Macaca mulatta: one gene and its partners. The protein of the gene in region 1 interacts with the protein of each later gene in a biochemical or structural test. Links are inferred from orthologs where the notes say so. Each region holds a gene or a part of one and is shown on either strand. Other genes may lie near its edges. The genes, in order: MARCHF6, UBE2J2 and UBE2G2.

What was found.
Region 2: the proteins of MARCHF6 (region 1) and UBE2J2 form a complex in vitro, tested with the Homo sapiens proteins (2 studies listed by BioGRID, with this or other methods). The link is inferred for Macaca mulatta from reciprocal best matches to the Homo sapiens genes MARCHF6 and UBE2J2.
Region 3: the proteins of MARCHF6 (region 1) and UBE2G2 form a complex in vitro, tested with the Homo sapiens proteins (2 studies listed by BioGRID). The link is inferred for Macaca mulatta from reciprocal best matches to the Homo sapiens genes MARCHF6 and UBE2G2.

Annotation. Positions count from the first base shown.
Region 1 is NC_133411.1:11,499,337-11,503,617, reverse strand, and holds the start of MARCHF6 (E3 ubiquitin-protein ligase MARCHF6), read right to left. Parts: upstream 2,816-4,281; 5' UTR 2,809-2,815; coding exon 2,790-2,808; intron 2,590-2,789; exon of another isoform or gene 2,036-2,589; intron 1-2,035. UniProt on the Homo sapiens protein: Endoplasmic reticulum membrane-associated E3 ubiquitin ligase that plays a critical role in mitigating endoplasmic reticulum stress, the regulation of cholesterol and lipid homeostasis, and ferroptosis.
Region 2 is NC_133406.1:239,412,396-239,416,557, reverse strand, and holds the start of UBE2J2 (ubiquitin-conjugating enzyme E2 J2), read right to left. Parts: upstream 2,871-4,162; 5' UTR 2,691-2,870; intron 2,021-2,690; exon of another isoform or gene 1,877-2,020; intron 1-1,876. UniProt on the Homo sapiens protein: Catalyzes the covalent attachment of ubiquitin to other proteins. Seems to function in the selective degradation of misfolded membrane proteins from the endoplasmic reticulum (ERAD).
Region 3 is NC_133408.1:2,750,112-2,753,686, reverse strand, and holds part of UBE2G2 (ubiquitin-conjugating enzyme E2 G2), read right to left. Parts: intron 2,471-3,575; coding exon 2,352-2,470; intron 1-2,351. UniProt on the Homo sapiens protein: Accepts ubiquitin from the E1 complex and catalyzes its covalent attachment to other proteins. In vitro catalyzes 'Lys-48'-linked polyubiquitination. Involved in endoplasmic reticulum-associated degradation (ERAD).

The DNA of each region.
Region 1 (4,281 bases):
TGTTTTTGTAACATTATTCTTAATCTCTTTGCGTGGAATATTAAAATATATTTTTAAAGGGCAGAGAACCGGCCAGGAACGGTGGCTTATGCCCATAATTCCAGCATTTTGGGAGGCTGAGGCAGGCAGATCACCTGAGGTCAGGAGTTCGAGATCAGTCTGGCCAACATGGCAAAACCCCATCTCTACTAAAAATACAAAAATTAGCAGGGAGAGGTGGCACGCTCCTGTAATCCCAGTTACTCAGGAGTCTGAGACAGAAGAATTGCTTGAACCCAGGAAGTGGAGGTTGCAGTGAGCTGACATCACACCACTGCACTCCAGCCTGGGCGACAGAGCAAGACTCCGTCTCAGAAAACAAAAAAAATAAATAAAAAACAGAACCACAACAGCATTAGTGTTTTCAAAAGTAGGTGATACTGATTTTTTTTCAATTTAGTTTTATGTTTGGCCATATTTTGAATATCTCCTACCAAAAAATAACAGATTTTAAAAACCTAAGTTGCATTTTTTAAAGAAATAATCTATAATAACTGATTTCGCAAATAGAACATTTATTAGTTTTTTGGCATCTTCACTCTATTATTTTTAATCCTCTATAACCCTCCCTTTTCCTTTAAGTGTTATTTCAACTTAAATTTTATCGTAAAAATGTCAGAAGACTTCCAAATTGGAATTTTGCAAAAGCAGGCATGAGAATACAGCACTAAAATTCACTTGCATTTCATGACTACTAATTTCATAAAATAAAGCAAAATAAAATTTTCGCCAAATTATAAAAATGATCCATCCTATAGAGGGAGTGACAAAAATAAATTCCAACATTGGACATTTAGTATCCACTTATAAATAAATATCTAATTTAAGTGCAGAGTCTGACAGACATGAGCTTGAATCGTGCCTCTGCCATTTACTACCTGTATAATCTTGGACAAGTTACTTAATCATACTAACCATCAGTTCCCTCATCTGTAAAATGAAAATGCCGCCTACTTAACGATGTTGACAGAATTAAATGAAATGTATATAAAGTGTTTAGTAAAGCATATTCTACCCGTTGAGTCTTCAGCACATGTTATTTTAACAGAGAACAGTGTTCAACAAATAAATGTCATGTATACCTTATCCTGATTATAATTTTACAAGAGAAAAAATATATTTAAGCACTAGAAGTACAATGAAAATATTTCATGATTCCATACGTGCTTCGAGCGCAATTCCTGAATTACCATAGGTTACTGTCACACCATAAAAGTATGCAAGTAGCAATGCCCAGGCCAAAAGAATGAGAATTGAATATAATACGTCCGTACTTATCCTGTGATAAATGCATGCCTTAGTAGATTTATTCATTAAAACTTGAATCTGAAAGGATGTGAAACCTACATAGATGGAAATTTTACACAAAGGACCACCTGTCAAAAAGAAATAGTTCCCAACCTTCAGCAGTTTCGCTTTACTATTTTTTCCAAAGGCGTCTCCAGTGGCGATTAGCTACACTCAGTGTATATAATAAACATACTGTGGCATAATGAAAGGGAAATTATTTGCAATCAGAATGCCTACATTCAAATCTGTCTCTTACTACCTGTGTAAAGCTTCGACAAGCTATTAAAACAACGAAGCCTACATTTCAACATCTATAAAAGATAATACCTACCTATTCCACAGGCCTTTTGGGAAGATCAAACGCGAATGTACAGCAAGTGCCACATGTTATAGTTGAGGTTTTTATTAAAGGCAAGACTTCTTTTAAAAAAATAAGTCGTTATCAACTCATTACAGAGATATTATCAAACTTTTTTCACTCATTACTGCACCCCATGACGGCGTCTGATAATTCATTTTCATTTAAAATTGCCAAAATCACAACCTATAAGGTTGAAAGACGCTTATACCCCCCATAAATATACCTAAAGTAGAAAAGCATTTGCACCGATAACCGGAACATCAAAAAAGGCAGAATAATTTAGTAATTTCCTCTATAAACTCACCACTCATTTAAAAACACAGCTGGTTAAAAATAATTTACTACCTTCAGTGGGTAAGAAAATGCGCTTGAAGAGACATAAGGTGTGGACGTTTACATCTTAGGTATTCATTGTAGAAGGGTCAGTTTGTTCAAAGTAACCGTATCCAACAGGCAATCGCAAAACAAAACCAAGAGAACCCTGCTTATAGGTGTCAAGGATTTAAAACCAAATGGATCGCAACAAAAGAGCCCCCCCTCCGTTTAGTAAACAGATTCTCGAGCTGCAGGCTAGCCGAGGACCGGGCTTTTCAATAGGGGTCAGCTCACTCCACTCGGCAGTCACCTGGCGGGGTATTTTTCGCGAAGTTTCAAAGTCAACAAAGAAGTTCTGTGGCGAGGGGGTAGGGCCTGGCGAGCAATAGGCAGAAGGACGTAAAGAAAGACAAAACCCAGTGGGGGAAGGGTGCGGAAAACGCCCCCGGACGGCAGCGGCAGCGACAGCGGCCCCCTCTTCTGGGCCAGCGCGCGACGGCGGGGACGAGGGAGGCCACGCCGGCCCGGAGCAGCCACGACGCCCCAGGACCCGGGCCCGGCCCGGCAGGGTCCCCGCCCCCCTCGGCGGCGCGGGCGGGAAACGGCTGGGGGCGCGCCGAGGGTCACCTTCCGCTCCCCGGACCAGAGGCCCCGCGGGTGGGCAAACGGCCCAGGCGCCCGCCCTGCCGCGCTCCAGCCGCCCACCTCGAGCGCCGCGGACCTGGCCGGGGCACGAACCCGGGAGCCGACGCAAGGGCTCGGGCGCCGCGCGTCGCCGACTTACCTTCCTCCGCGGTGTCCATCTTGTCTGGGGGGGTGGCGGTGACGCAGCCACGAGCTCCCGCGGCCGGGCGGGGAAAGAGGGCGGGGAGGAGGAGGAGGGAGCCGGGCCCGGGCAGGTGCGTGCGCTCAGGTGCGAGAGAGGAAGCGAGAGGAAGGAGAGGGGAGAGGGAGAGGGAGAGAGGCTGACAGAAAGCGAACCACAAGGGAGGGGGAGGGGCGGGAACACCTAGGGGCGAGGCCTGGGCGGGGCGCCGAGGCGGAAGGGGCGGGAGCTCCCCAACGACAGACAGTGTCACTTCCGGCGGCCGCGGTGCGCACGCTCGGTTGTAGGCTAAGGCGGGGAAGGACCTTTTTCGGGGGTGCGGTGAATCACCGCGTGCTCTGGGCCACCTGGGGTAGTCGCCGAGAATGCGCCGGACAGCGGGGCCGAAACCTAATCAGTAGCTGAGCTTTGGTGACCGCTTCTGGAGGGGCGCAGAGCAGTGGGAAGAGGCCGCGAGAACCTAGCGCCCGCCCCAGCCGACGTGCGAGACAAAGGCTACGGCGCGGGGCTCTTCGGGAGGCCGGGAGGTGCCTGTGACAATGCGAGTCTGCGCTCCACGCTCCCGCACCGCGATGCCGAGGCCGAATGGCTAGAGTGGGCCCAGGCGTCAGCATTTCTGTTTGGCACCCGGGCCGTTGTGGTGCACGTTTTGAGGAACTACTAAAGCCTCACTGTGATGAAAAAGGCAAACGCTGACTTCACCAAAATTACTCCCAGGGAGACTTCTGCATTTGGCTGGAAGGACTATTTGAGTAAACCGCTGAGGCTGGGGGTTGAAACATAATCCTCCTTTAAGGGAGATCTGTTCGGATACCGAGTTAGGGACGCTTGCCTGCGCAGAGCTAAGGGAAGAACGGTCCTAGGCCAAGCTCTGTCCCCATCAGCACGTCACCCTCCCTCACTGTAATCCTTGACTGTTTCTCTAAATGAAGAATTATTTAGAGAATACAAATTAGAAGGGCCGCCAAGTCAGAATTGCCTGAGCGGGAGCAGTCTTTCCAGCCTCGAAAAATGTTTAAACAATATGCAGATGACCTAGCACAAATAAAGAATGCTAGCAACCGCTGTTATGTGTGAGTGGTGAAATTGGGAGGGCCCCTCCCGCAATCTTCATCAAATAGAATAAGGTTTAGAATAAAAATAATGAAATACAGTTTTTCAAAAAGAGCAGCGCTTGACTAATGTTTACTGATGTCACTCATGTTACTCAAGGCAGGAAAGAACTCTACATAATAGGGACCCACTGATTTCAGGGGCTGGCCCTGATGATTAAGCAGACAGCCATTCTTTAAATTTGTTTTTTGTTGTTGTTTGCTTATGTTTTTTTTTTCTTTTTTTGAGAAGAGGTCTCGCATCGTCACCCAGGCAGGAATGCAGTGGTGCGATAGTGGCTCACTGCAGTCTCACTATGTTGACCAGTATGATTTCGAACTCCTGTCTTCAAGCGATC
Region 2 (4,162 bases), on another chromosome or scaffold:
GCACAGCCCGGGCCCCACTCCAAACCCCTGACCGACACACTCCTTCTCACTGCTGCTTCCCAGCCTAGACTCTACTGGAAACTCCCCTAGGCCCTTCCGGGCCACCGCCTTCAGAGGCCTCCCTGATTTCCCTGCCAAATGCCTCCCACTCTGTCACACATCACTGGCCTCCATGTGACCCCACACACCACGCAGGGCCCTTTCGGGCCCCAGCAGAGGCAAGGGCGGGCTCCTCTGCCTAAGGAGTGCCTCCCCAGGAGGGCCCTCACCAGGAACGGGGTTCTAGTCCTGCCCGGGAAGGAAGTGCTCCACACAGTGGCATCCCCAGCTCCTGGCTCAAGAAGCCAATGGGCCAGGGATCTCCCCTCAGGCCAACACCTGGTGATGGACACAGCGATGACCCCAAGCAGCACTCTACACAGGCCGTCCTTTCAAACGCTCACCCTGAAGCTAACACTCTGCCATATACAAAATAATTCACTGGACAATTCAGGTACAGGTGTGTCTGGGCTTAGCTAAGTGGCCAGGCTGCGGGTTTAATGAAAGGTCATGGACAGCCACGCAAAAATAAAATAGATTCCATCAAGTCAGTCACAAGCAAGCTTCCCTCCCATACTTGCTTGGAGAGGCTTTTAAAATCATGTTCACGATTCAACTGCTGTTTCCCCAGACACCCTTCCTGAGCTTCACACAGAACAGCGTTCTCACGTCCCCCAAGGCGCCAGGGGGCGACTTCCCCCAATTCATCTCCTCCCAATATGACAGCAGGAAGGACAAGGAAAATAAAAATCCACAAAGGGGCTGGGCATGGTAGCTCACACCTGTAATCCCAGCACTTTGGGAGGCCGAGGTGGGCGGATCACCTGAGGTCGGGAGTTCGAGACCAGCCTGACCAACATGGTAAAACCCTGTCTCTACTAAAAATACAAAATTAGTCAGGTGTGCTGGCAAATGCCTATAATCCCAGCTACTCGGGTGGCTGAGACAGGAGTATCGCTTGAATCCAGGAGGTGGAGGTTGTGGTGAGCTGAGATCACGCCATTGCACTCCAGCCCGGGCAACAAGAGCGAAACTCCATCTCAAAAAAAAAAAAAAAAATTAGCCGGGTGTGGTGGTGGGCACCTGTAATCCCAGCTACTCTGGAGGCTGAGGTGGGAGAATTACTTGAACTCCGGAGCCGGACACTGCAGTGAACTGAGATCATGCCACTGCACTCTAGCCAGGGAAACAGAGACCCTGTCTCCAAAAAAAAAAAAAAAAAAATCCACAAAGGAAGCAAACTGTGAGAACAGAGTTTGAAGCATATGTGCCTCAGGTTCCCTTCAAACATCCCCACAGACAAGGGACACCAAGCACATCATCCTGCTGAGAGAAAGAGTTGGCGATTTTAAAACAAAAAGGTACAGAAAAAAAACGTTTACACGGAAACTGCATAAAAGCAGCGTGAATCACCGAGGGCAGCTGTGCCCAGGCGCTGAGACAGTGGCTGCCCAGCAGCTCTCACCCATCCCTCTTTGTCTGGACAGCTCTTTCCTGCTTAGGGATGTGGCAGGAAACCTTGGCCTGACCCATCTGCCAGGCGCGTGGCACGCCCAGGTCCAGGACTGCCACGGAAGTCTCTGCCTTCTCCACCAGACTGCTCCGAAGGCTGGATGGAAGCCCGGGCCGATGGAGGTGGGACACTCACCTGTAACGCACACATGCACCTGCCTGGCTCACCTGCCTGTCACTCACACATGTACCTGCCTAGAGCGGAGCTGCTAAGGAGGTCAGCGGTGCCAGGCCGAGCAGATGACGGACTGTGAGTTCCGGGCACCCAGACCCAACCACGCCCTAGGCTCAGGTGCTGGACTTTTGGATTAAGCGAGATACTCACTTCTTCGGAAGCCAGATTACACCGTCTGTTTCCCCTGGGGCAGGACGCGGGGCCACCGACCTGCCCCAGCCAAGCCTGCTGTACGCTCCTCGCTGCCCTCCCACCGGGCTGAGGCCCGACCTTTCAGCCGCTTCCTATCTGGGTCTGGCAAGAGGGTGGCAACCGGACTTGAGTTAAATACACACGCACTAAGTGGCAAGCATTGAAAAGGAGGCCAGGAGGTGACACCTAGCCAGGGGCTGAGAGGGTGCAGGGAATTGGCAGGTGTGGACGGCGAGGCCCGGCGCAGCTCAGGGACTTGTTCCGGGCTCGTGTCTTACTCCCGCCGGCCGGCGGTGGAGCCAGACTCCGGTCTCCCACTGTCACCGCCCGGGCTTCCCAGAAACGCTGGCCCCGAGCACCGTCCCGGGCACGCTCGTTTCTCTCGTGCCTCTCGGGGCAGTGTGGGGTCTAACAGTTCAGGGCGAGGCGGCGGCGGGCTCAACGGCAGCCCTCCCCCGACACAGACTCCCGGGATCCATTGACAAACCAGGATCGAGGCTGCCCGTCCTGGGGCAGCCGCAAGTGTCCCAACGGACGGGAGACCCGGCCTAGTGGTCAAGTCCCCGACCTGACCCTGACCCGGAGCTCCGGGAGCCCGCCGTAACCGACCTCGGGTTCCGCGCAGGCTCGGGCCAGGGCCCCGCGGGCGGCGGGCGCGAACGGAGAAGCGTCGCGCAGGGTCCCCCGCAGCCCCGGGCCGCCGCTGTGGCCGGCTCCGGCGGGGCGGTCGAGCGGGCCCGAGGACCCGGCGCAGGCCAGCGAGCGCGCTCACCTCTCCCTGTCGCTGCGCGTGGGCCGCCGCCGCGCTCAGGCTCGCCGTGGTCGAGGCCGGAGCAGGGTGCGGAAAAGCGGGGCCCGCGCCCGAAACAGCCACACCGCGCCGGGACTGGGCCCACCGAACCCGTCGCAGGGCCGCCGCCGCCTCAACCTCCAAGATGGCCGCTCGCGGGGCGGAACCAGCCTAGTTTCTGCTTCCGGTGCGCGTTCCCTGGGGGGCGGGGCGCCGCTCTAGGCAGCCTGGAGGACCGCGCCCACGACTCTCTGTCGCCGCCGGCGCCGGTCGGGGGAGGGCGGGGCGGTCGGCGCGTGCGCACTGGCGGGCGGCTGCGGGCACCGTTAGTGGGCGCGAAAGCCCCGGACCCCGAAGCCGCGCGCTTACGTCCCCACGTGCCACGGCCCAGGGCGGCAGGCCCGGCTGAGGGCGACCCCGGTGGAGAAAGGACCCCGACCCTCCCGCCTTGTCCTCCGCTCCCACACCCTGCCCGGCCCTTAGGGGAGGCGCGGCGCGGCGCGGCCCCGGCGTGGAGCGTCCCGGGCGCCTGGAGGCCTGGCTCGTTCAGGGACCCGAGAGTGACACGCGTGGGATCGCTTTGCAACCCACGTCCGCGCCCCAGCACCCTCTCCTGCGGGAGCCTTCCCAGCCCCGGGACGCCCCCGCCCCAGCACCCTCCCCCTGCAGGTGCCTGGCCCAGTGCCGGGACGCCCCGACCTCCCTCTGGACAGACTTTAGAAAGCGCGGGGCGCTGCGTCCTTTCCACCTCTCTCTGACCCCAGACACATTGGGAGGGAGCTGTAGGTGGCCGGGCGCTGGGGTGGGACGCTAAGGGCAGGCACACAACCCACCGCCTCCCCGAGAGGCAGCTAAGGACAGCGGGGAGCTGAGGGTGGTCCCCTGGTGGGGGATTGGGAGGTGGACCTCGCCACCTGGCTGCCTGTGGCCCTGTCCTTTGCCCCAACCCTGATGGCCTCTCAGAGACAACCACAGGTCAGCAAGGTGGCTGAACACTGAGGGTGGGTCCCGCTGTGGCTACGGGCAGAGGGCAGTCTGTGTCCATGCTCAGCCTGACTCTGCCCCTCCGAGACACCTTGGTGGGGGTCTGAGACGCTGCTGCAGCTCCTGGGGCAGAAGCCAGGAGGAATGTCCACACAGCCTCAGCCCGTGGGAATCCAGCCTGCCTCCATTCCTGACGTCACAGGCACCACCTTTGGAAAACAGCTCAGCATCCAGCCTCCTTCCTCTGCCTCCTCTCAGGCCTCTGCCGTTCCCAGGCAGGGCGGGCCGAGCTGGTTTTACAGCATGGAAAGTTATGTAAGGGAAGCCACACCGGCCGCAGATACAGGCACCAGCACGTCCACTCGCTTGCACGCTCACGGCTGTGGCCCGTGGCAGATGGAGGCCCGCCCTGCCTTGTTTGTCCTTCAGTAGTGTGTGATGAGAGCGCACCTTTGGGGACTCTGCAGGTG
Region 3 (3,575 bases), on another chromosome or scaffold:
CTGAGCATTAAAAATAATTACTAGAGGCCGGGCGCGGTGGCTCAAGCCTGTAATCCTAGCACTTTGGGAGGCTGAGACGGGCGGATCACGAGGTCAGGAGATCGAGACCATCCTGGCTAACACGGTGAAACCCCGTCTCTACTAAAAAGTACAAAAAACTAGCCGGGCGAGGTGGCGAGCGCCTGTAGTCCCAGCTACTCGGGAGGCTGAGCCAGGAGAATGGCGTAAACCCGGGAGGCGGAGCTTGCAGTGAGCAGAGATCCGGCCACCGCACTCCAGCCTGGGTGACAGAGCAAGACTCCGTCTCAAAAAAAAATAATAATAATAATTACTAGAACACTAAAAATAATAATCAGACCACCTGCAGTACATAGTCACATAATGTAATCAGTTTATTGGTCATATTTGTCACTAATGCCACATCACAGGTATTGTTCTGAATAATATATTTATCCTCAATACAATTTTAGTATCTTAATTACCTACAATCCTCTTCACAGTTGCATTTTACAGCCAACCAACTTGAAACTGACTACTTCAATTACTCTTACCTATCAATTTTATTTTTTAACTTTTTATTATGGAGAATTCCAAAAACACACTTGAGTAGACAGCATATGATGAACCTCCATGTTACCATTTAACTCAGGCTCATGGCCAGTCTCCCTGAAAGAAAGGCAGGCTTCTGAGCATCTCCTGTGCACACAAGACTGAAGTAGCTCTGAGACAAGAAAAGAAGTACCAGATGGTCTTTCTCAGACGGCCACCCACTACCTATGCGTACCAATATCTGCAGTAAATGAGAAGTCCTTAATGAGGGTTAGGACAGCAAGTCTAACAGCAGAGGGCATTTCCACGAGGGAAGTGGCGGGGGCGTCGGGGGACAGTCCTGAAAACCCCTATGGCAAAGAGGAGTTCGAGTAGGGCTCTGCCTAGACAGGTGTAGACAAGGGGAAAGTATACCAAAGGGATTCCATTTTAACCCCAGAGAGAAGTCAGAGGCTCAGAAAATTCTATAAATTCTCTCATGCTCTTTGATATGCATACAATAAGAAATTTGTTTCAAATAAATATTTCATTTTTGCAAAATAGGATACTTTATTTGCTTTTCTTCTCTATAGCTATTAAGATCGTGATTATCAGCGGCAATAATAATCATTTATAAGAAACATTATTCTAAATAACATCATTGAAGATATAACATATTTCCTTATTAATTCTCTTACGTATAATCCCCAAATGTAAAAGGAAGAAATAAAAACTACAGTTGTTCAGGAATTCCAATTCCTACTACTGGACACATTTTCAAATAGCTACAGTACAATTCACTTAAATGACCTTATTTTTTTCCTCCTTGTAAAAGTAATGTATATTAATTTTAGGGCAAAAAAAGATTTATAAAAAGGAAAAAATAATTTCAATCTGAAAAAAGAATCACTTAACATTTTTGTGCTTACTTTTCCAATTATATATACATTTACATGTAAATTTATTTTTCAAGAGGAAATTACAACAGTCCTACTGCTTTTCCCAGTCAATATAACACAAATATTATTTTGTTTTATTGATTCTTATTTTAGATCATTTTAAAAATCTACATCACATTCTAACATATACGATATGGTTTGGCTGTGTCCCCACCCAAATCTCATCTTGAATTGTAGCTCCCATAATTCCCACATGTCATGGGAGTGACCCAGAGGGAGGTACTAAATCATGGAGGCACACCTTTCCCGTGCTGTTCTCGTGATAGTGCATAAGTCTCACGAGATCTGATGGTTTTATAAAAAGCAGTTTCCCTGCACACACTCTCTTGCCTGCCACCACTAAGATGTGCCTTTGCTTCTCCTTTGCCTTCTGCCATGATTGTGAGGTCTCCCCAGCCATGTGTAATTCTGAGTCCATTAAATCTCTTTCCTTTATAAATTACCCAGTCTTGAATATGTCTTTATTAACAGCGTGAGAACAGACTAATACAACATATAACTTAATTTATTCTTGTGTTAAAAACCCAGGTTAAGTCAAAATTTTCACCATTAAAAATAACACTATGACAAAGATTAGCATAACCCCTTCTGAGCACACACCCACAAGTAAAACTTCCTCCCCAGTGAAGTAGGGTGGCTGGTCAAATGGCATCCAGTTTTCTTTTATCTACATTAAACTGACCTTCAAAATTGAAATCATGTGTTTAATACCACCATGCTTACCTGGCTGAATTTCAAAACCTAAGAAGTGTTTTCTAAAGATCTACATCATAGACACATAGAATATACCACATTTCAAGTGGTTGATAAGATTATCTCTGCACCTATCTTGGTACCACAAAAACTACTTCCAAAAGCACTTACTGTTAGGATGAAACATCTCACAGGTAAATCTCATCTTTGGGGGACTTAACGGGTAATCAAGTGGGAAACTCAGGATGGCAGGAAAAACGCCAAACTCAAAGCAGGTGTCTTCTGGGCCCCTAGAAGATATCAAATATGTAGACTGAACTTCAAAGTACATTTTTCAACATCGACCACAACTGAGAAATGGGTTAAGAACATTTTTACCACTTTAAAAATGCACATGAGGCCGGGCGCGGTGCCTCACGCCTGTAATTCCAGCACTTTGGGAGGCCGAGGCGGGCAGATCATCTGAGGTCAGGAGTTCGAGACCAGCCTGGCCAACATGGTGAAACCCGTCTCTACTAAAAATACAAAAATTAGCTGGGTGTGGTGGCGAATGCCTGTAATCCCAGCTACTAGGGAGGCTGAGGCAGGAGAATCGTCTGAGCCTGGGAGGTGGTGAGCCAAGACTGCACCACTGCACTCAAGCCTGGGTGACAGAGCGAGACTCTGTCTCAAAAAATAAACAAAAATAAAAATTAATAATAATAATAAAAATGCACATGAAAAGATTATCTAAATGACAATGAATTGGTACTTTTTTCCTCAACTGAAAGCAATGTCTCATTCTCCTATTTCAATCTGGTCTAAATCTTAAGTACAAGTACAAAGACTGAGTTACAGGCAGTTTGCACATTTATAAAGGTTAAGAGTTGAGCAGCAAAACCTCTTGATAATTAGGGGATCAGAGAAAATAACTCATGTCAATGCTCTAAGATCTGGGAGCTTTTTCTGCAGATGTGGTACAATCACATTTTAGGATAAGGGTATGAATTACGGCAAAGGATATAGCAAGATTCCATTGTATTTCAACAGATAAGGGGCTAAGAGTTGTATTTTAAAGGTGATTTTTAATTTTTAAACGTGCCCAAGAAGGCATCTTTGCAACCTTCAAGAAGCAGATGAAGAGCACATGTGATCACTGCTGCATGCTAGGTGAAAGGCTAGGCACACAGGTACCACCACTCCAGGCCGCAACTGCAGGACCACGTGTCATGCCTTATCCCACTGATGCAACACTAGAACAACTCCCCGTCATGGGCACAGACACAGGCATGTGAGTCTCCCTGGACCTATACTTTCCTCACAAGTAAATGGAAGAAATAGATGAAACCATTTCAGAAATCCTGCTTAAGGTTTAAAACCCAACAAGTATAAATTAACACTATCTTAACCAACAGT